Caenorhabditis elegans: one gene and its partner. The protein of the gene in region 1 interacts with the protein of each later gene in a biochemical or structural test. Each region holds a gene or a part of one and is shown on either strand. Other genes may lie near its edges.

The links. Proteins that work in one complex are often made in the same cells at the same time.
Region 2: the proteins of tnt-4 (region 1) and unc-27 interact in far-western blotting, tested with the Caenorhabditis elegans proteins (one study listed by BioGRID).

The regions. Positions count from the first base shown.
Region 1 is NC_003283.11:1,990,862-1,994,616, reverse strand, and holds the start of tnt-4 (Troponin T, skeletal muscle), read left to right. Parts: upstream 1-1,703; 5' UTR 1,704-1,730; coding exon 1,731-1,747; intron 1,748-1,795; coding exon 1,796-1,981; intron 1,982-2,789; coding exon 2,790-3,411; intron 3,412-3,755.
Region 2 is NC_003284.9:8,787,392-8,791,135, forward strand, and holds unc-27 (Troponin I 2), read left to right. Parts: upstream 1-2,064; coding exon 2,065-2,214; intron 2,215-2,265; coding exon 2,266-2,537; intron 2,538-2,617; coding exon 2,618-2,759; intron 2,760-2,814; coding exon 2,815-2,944; intron 2,945-2,991; coding exon 2,992-3,026; 3' UTR 3,027-3,230; downstream 3,231-3,744.

The sequences.
Region 1 (3,755 bases):
TTTTAATTTTACACATTTTCGTAGTTGAAAGTTTTGTTATATCTTAAGTGTTGGCAAAGATATGAGACAATTAAGCGAGCTCGTCCAATTTTATAAAAATTTTCAAAAATCATCGTGAAAAAATTTCGTTAAAAAAATTTTCAGAGGAAAAGGCCTAAACATTTTTGAAAATGAATAAGTTACTTTTAACTAAAACTTTGCATATACTTTCATTTATCAGCTTTACTTTAGTGGAGAGAAAAATAGAACTTTGGAGTATTTTTCCATTTTTAAAAAACTACGCATATTTTTTTCTTTGATGAGTAATATTCTTGCATAAACCTTATGTATAACAAAATTTTCAACTACAAAAATGTGAAAAATAAAAATTTAATTATTTCAGCTCTTGACAAAAGTTTTGTCAAACAAGTAGTTTTAGAGTTACAGGCGAAAATCTGGAAAAAGGGTGTTTATTGAAACTTGGACTTAGCTTGTTTCAACTGACTGTAACTTAGCAGCGGGCACAGATAGGAAATAGTGGTAAACTGATAAAATGTAGTAATTGATGTGCTTATTAATGTTGTAATTGATTACTTTTTTGTATCTTGCACGTTCCGGAAGTTAGCGCCCTTCAAACTTTAAAAAGTCATTTTTGCAAGCATTTTTGGCCATTTTAAGGAGTGTAGCGCCACCAAAAAGATACGCATGGGGCGTCAACTGCAGATTTTTATTCAACTGACTGTCTAATACATCAGGGCATATAAAGTTTTTCATTTCGCCGAAAAATAAAAAAAAATCGAAAAAAAAATTTTTTTTTCGTCATCACAGTTCTGAGATTTAAAATATCTGGGAGTAGTCCGATATGGCTGATATTGTTGGGCTTATCATTACTAACAGTCTTCTATATAACCACAAAAAAATATCTAAGAAAAAATCAAAGATGAGAAAAAGCGACAAAACTTATTGACTGACCTAATAGGTTAATTTATGGGTTTTCTTGAGAGTTATGAGCTAAGACTTGCATGGCATATGTTTTTCGCTGTTTTGAATCATTTACAGATATTTTTTCCACTTTTCAGAAGAAAAAATTTTTTTTTGAAATTTTTGAAATTTTTTTAAAAAGGTGGTCTAGCCACTTTCAAAACGTCATAACTTTGCTGAACCTGGACCGGGGCAGCTAAATTTCTTGGAGAGATCATCATTTTCACTCTTTTATCGAAAAATTACTATGGCATGTCAAAGTCCGGGGTTCAGTTTTTCGACTTCCCTTGTAAGCATTGAATTTAGAGGGGAATCCTTAAAATTTCTGATCCAAATCCATGAGTTAGCCATTTCAGATCCTTGACTAACCATCACTTCCTGACTTTTTTTCCTGCTCACTTACCACCAGTTCCCCTGTCTCCACCAGAGCACATCACCGATCGCGACATGATTGTACACACAGGTAGCTCTCAAGAGAGCTTACCCGCGATTTGCCAGGATACTCTCCCAAATCTCTCTCATGTTTCCATGATCTTTTTGCGCAGTTTGCGGGATGAGAAAAGAAAGCTAACATACACTGTACGCCCACCGAAACTCGAGATCCGCCTCCCCACTACCACTTGTTGGAATTCATTGGGGTGGGCAAACTTTGAAGACACTATGTAACACTTGCTCTTCTTCCCCTTGCTTCCAATTTATGTTTCATTTCCTAACTTTTGATTTTTTACATTTTTTCAGGGGTTTTTTTTACAACCAATTCACCAATCAACATGTCTGACGAGGAATAGTGAGTTGAAATTTAAAAAATGTTATATTTCAAGTTTTAAAATTCCAGCTCCGAGTACGAGGATGAGGAGGTAGAAGAGGAGGAAGTCGAGGAGGTCGAGGAGGCTGAAGCCGAAGAGGAGGAGGACACCGAGCAGCAAGAGGAAGAAAGGTTCAAGCGAGCTTCTGTCGACACCACGGCAACCGGTGGTCCAGCAACACCGGCTGCTTCTTCGCACGCTCCTGTCTCTTTCGAGTACTTCTTTTTTTCAATTCTTTCCTATCTTATAGTAAAAACTACTAGGCTTTTCTTATCCAAGACCGCCGTGATCTCTCTAATCAAATCACTAGTACTGTTGAGTGGAAAAACTTTTGAAAAGCCTGCGTCTCCGCGCTCGGCCACACTATTTTCTTCGCACTCAAGCACATACACTTACGGCATCACTGTTTGCACTTTTTTCTTTCTTTTCACAATTCCATTATCCATGCAATATTGGAGTGGGTTAGAGGGTCAGATATTTGGAAATAGTTTACTTTTAAATGAGCAACCGACGAATCGAAGTATCCGATGAGAACACATCTGTATTTTTGTATAAAGTAGGAGCAGCCGACATATTACGGGACCAAAATATCATTAAAATCATGTGAAGTCGGGCATGCACTTTTGTTGACCTTCGAGATGTCGGCTGCAAAGTTTTACTGACTGTCATTATGAAGTATGAGCTGCCGACATTATACGGGATCCGGCAATTTGTAGAAGGCAGCTGGCAAACCTCGGGTTTCTCAATTGTCGGCTGCACACTTTCAATGGCTAGTGTAGGAATAAGAGCAGCCGACATATAACGGAAATCGAGATCTCAATGAGAGAGAGATCTCAATATCCGGAACATTTTATTTTTTCAAAGCCTCATTAAAAAACAATTTGCCCTGAAAAATGTCGGTTGCTATCCTAAATTGAAAAAAATTAATTAATGCCAAATATCTAACCCTATAAAATCACTGAGACACTACTAAATCATCACATTCTGAAAAAATAAATTACCCTAACAATATGCATTTTTCAGCGGAGAAGCTCTAAATGAAGGTGAGAAGGCTATGCTCGCCGCCAAGAGACGTCACGAGAACGACGAACAGGCCAAGTTGGAAGACTACGAGAAGGCTCGTCGCTCCGAACGTGAAAAGGAAGAGGAAGAGTTGGAGAAGCTGAAGGAGAAGCAAGCTCAGCGTAAGCTCGCCAGAGAGCAAGAAGAGCGTGAAGCTGCCGAGCGCAAGCGTCTCGACGAGGAACGTAGACAGAAGGAGGAGCAGGAGCGTCGTGCTCGTGCCGAAGAGGAGAAGAAGAGGAAGGAAGAGGAGAAGCTGAAGAAGGCTCAGATGATGGGTGGAGGATTCCCAGGACAACAGGGTGGAAGAAACTTTGTCATCCAGAAGAAGGAAGAGTCCGCCGGAGTTGGAGATCGTTTCGGAAACATCGTGCAGGCCAAACAAGAGATGGGAATGACCAAAGAACAACAGGAAGAGGCTAAGTCGGTCGCCATGGCCGGTATTCGTAAGTCGATCGCCGAGGCTTCCACCATTCTTCCAAATGATATGAAGGCCAAGATCAAGGAGCTTCATCAAAGAATCTGCAAGTTGGAGGCTCAGAAGTACGATTTGGAGAAGAGACACGAGAGACAGGAGTACGATGTAAGTAGTCTTAGTCTTAGGCTTCGGCTTATGTTTAGGCTTGGCATAGTCTAGGCTTAGGAATAGGGTTAGGATTAGGCATATGCTTGGGCTTAGGCTTGGCGTAAGTGGCGAGCGGTAGCTAGGCTTATTAGGCTTAGGCTTAGGCTATGACTTAGGCCAAAACTTACTGATTGGCTTACTAGGGAACCATCAGAAGGTGCCCATCGGACTTGCATATGAAACCTATGCCATTCGATAGCCTATGTCTTAAAACGGTTACTCGTGAATTTTTAGCTGCGAATCTCCAGAACCAAGTTCACGGCGAGCTCTCAAAGATCCTAAAATAGCACTATAATGAAGCA
Region 2 (3,744 bases), on another chromosome or scaffold:
ACCAAGAACGTATAAATGCGCTCTTGATAATAATAAAGATCCGAAATGAGTAAAATAGCACTCGCACATTTTTCCTTCTCTCACTTATACTTGTCCAAAATAACCAAATGTCATAATTTAACACTCCTAGGATTTTTGAATTTCTAAAAAATTTTAATGCGAAGCTGTGGTGAATTTTGTTTACGGAAAGTTTGAGTTTTTAGGATAATTTCGAGAATTTGTGCAAGCTCCAACACCTACTTCCAATACATACAACTGAACAGGGATTATGTGATCAAGTTCCAATATTACTTTATTTATACCCAATTTAGCTCATTATTAGTTATACCTCACTGAGGACACTACTTCTAATGAAAATTATTCCTTGATAGCAATCAAGAAATAATTTTCTAAAAGTAAAAAATTGTAAGCTGTAAAAGTTCGGTAGTGCCAATTAATTTACCCATATGACAACCGCTCATGTATAATAATATTTCGTAACACTTGTGCCCCCACTACTGCTCAACGTTTTTAACCAAAACATCATCATCGCCTCCATCAGCTATTTTTCTGTATCTTCTTCCGATGTTTCTCTTTCTCTATATACTCGTTGCAATGAACAATGTATCAAAAGAAAGATAGAGCTTGCCGCATCAGAAGAAAACAGTGTAAACTATTCGGAGATTGGCAGAAAAGCGTGATAACACAGTTGAAAACAATTCAAGATAAGAATGTGAATGTTTATGGAAAAAAGTGTTAAAAATAAACAGGACAATAGATCGGTTTAATCCATCACTACTCCATAAACTAAAATGGGTGTGAAAATAGTTACAGGGAATTGGAATTTATTTACAAGTTTCGGGTTGTTATTTACCATTGTTGGAAAATGTAGATTTTTCTCGTTGTGATCTGATTTTTGAATGTGTGATTTTTTTAATGATTTAGATTCACTTATTTTATAGTCTTGTCAAAAATAACTACTTTATGATAACAACTGATAAATTCAATTTGAAAGTAATAATATTCAACTTTTTGTGATAACTAATGATGATTTGCATACCCAATTTCATTATCCCCGCTATCTTTTTTCTTTATCACTTATCACAAATCTCAAACATCTGCCCACACCTCGCAACACTTTCAACTCATGGTCCCTAACATATTGAATTTCAAGAGAGTCTCACCGGCCACCGTGACTATTTTTATTGTATTTTTCCACACGTCACACTTGTCAGCTTGTCAATTTTTTTTTAGGTTTTTTTGTTTTCTGACCTACTCAAATCCTACGTGACAGCATGAAATTATGGAACTGAAAGAGAAATGGTTGAAAACAAAACACTGTGAAAAAATAAATAAAATTATTCTTGATTCTGATGAAAAATGTCATGTTCCAATTCACTTTTGAAACAATTTATCCAACAAATATTTACAGATCTCACTAGCGAGCCATGTCACAACTACAAAAAAGCAATCGAATTGATGAACTCAGTGACACCGTTGAAAAATCAGTATGTTATTTTAAAAATTGTTTAGGTATTTTTAGTAGTACGATTTTGATTTTTGATCACATATCTTCTTTTTGAAAATACAGAAAAACTACAGACTAGCTTCATAAATTGTTCGGAGCCCCATTCACCGAATAGCTCATAACTTGACCCACTGCCCCATCTGAAACCAATATCTTCTTGCCGCGTTCCGTTGGTTTTTTCCACTGAAGTTGCCACAGCTCTATCCCTATCTCTCGCTTGTCTTCAATCAATCTCGGCCAACGCAATTGGTAGGCAAGAATCATTACAACAAGCGGGAGACGTGTTGGAAAGAGCATCTGTCTGTATGGCATTGTCCGAGAGACCCAAAGATACAGAATTGGAGGGCGGGCGGTTTGTGGGGCGGCTGTTGCCAACTCTAGGTACCTCTCACGAGTTGCGACATCTATTGGCAGGATACTTCAGATTTCAATTCACAAGGCCTTCGGATGCATGATCAGGCTCGCCGCTAATTTGTTTTATGCTCATTCAAAAATTATTCATTTTGTGAATTTAATCTTCTGTTTTGTGATACTTGTACCCCAAACTAAAATTTCAGATGAGTGAAGAAGCCGGAGAGGACGCCCAGCGCAAAGCTGCCGAGCGCGAGGCCAAGAAGGCCGAGGTGCGCAAGCGTCTCGAAGAGGCCGGAAACAAGAAGAAGGCCAAGAAGGGATTCTTGACACCAGAGCGTAAGAAGAAGCTTCGTGTAAGTTGTGTTTTTGGAACACTTAAATGTTTAACTTATTTTTGATTTCAGAAGCTTTTGATGGTCAAGGCCGCCGAGGATCTTAAGAGACAACAATTGCTTAAGGAGCAAGAAAGACAAAAGGCTCTTGCTGACAGAACCATCTCACTTCCAAATGTTGACTCCATTGATGATAAGGGACAACTCGAGAAGATCTACAATGACCTCTGGGCTCGTCTTACCCAGCTCGAGGAGGAGAAGTACGACATCAACTACGTCGTCTCCCAGACTGAGGCTGAGATCAACTCCCTCACTATTGAGGTCAACGATCTTCGTGGAAAGTTGTGAGTTTTTATCAGTTTTTGATGAATTTCCCATATATGTAAAATCATCCAAAGTATTGATTTTACTTTTTATTTTTCAGCGTCAAGCCTTCACTCAAGAAGGTGTCGAAGTACGACAACAAGTTCAAGAAGAGCGGTGAGAGCAAGGCCGGAACCAAGGAAGACTTCCGTGCCAACCTCAAGATTGTCAAGAAGGACGTTATGGAGGCCATCGTCAATGTTGTAAGTTTTATCTGCAATGTTCGAGAATTTTGATAAACAAATATTTCAATTTCAGAAGAAGAAGGACGACAAGCCAGATTGGTCCAAGAAGAACAAGGATGCCAAGGCCGAAGACTCCGCTCCAGCTGCCGTTGCTCCAGAAGCTGAGCCAGTTGCAGAGGAAGCCGAGGCTGAGCCAGAAGCCGGTTTGTCAAAAATGATTTAGATTTTCTCGATAACTGAAAACTTGCAGAGGAAGAGGAAGGAGAGGAGGAGGAGGAGGAGTAAACTCCTAAATCCATCACTTCAATCCTGCTCAACATCATCCAAATCGACGTCATCAAACCGAACAACCCCCCTCCCCAAAAAAAAATATGCCAACATCAATATTCTGTAGTTTGTAAAATACTTTTTTACCATTTTATTCTTCCTTCGATGGGTCCCGGAAATTTAAATGTCAACAACGTGTGTGCTAATAAAATCTTGGTGGTCAGACTTGTGTGTTTGAATCCTTGAAGAAATATGAGAAGGAAGTGTGAAGTGTAGTAGGGAGTGTCTGGTTAAAAGTGATAAGTGAAGGAGAACGTGGGAGGAAAACATGAGAGGATCACTCTCCTGGGCTCTAAGAATAGTGCGAATAATTTTGGGACGCTTTGACAAACTCATTTGTCAGATAACGTTTCAAAAAGTATTTCAAATATTTTTGACACAATTTTGAAACACTCACAACATTCAACACCACAGACGCCAAAAAAACTGTTCTTGCAATTTCAAAATTTCGATCAAGTTTCCATCTGTTGAAAATTGATACATGAAAATATCTCTTTTAATTGTGCAGAACTTAATCAGCAATATTCATATTCACAGTTTAGCTGTTATGATACAATGCTGCAGTAAATTTGAAGATTATCGTGATCTATGGAGAAAATCAAGGGAAGTTGATAGCTTGGAAAAGCAAACAGGAGAGCACATTTCAATGAAAAGTCAATAGTTTTCCAAAAGTACT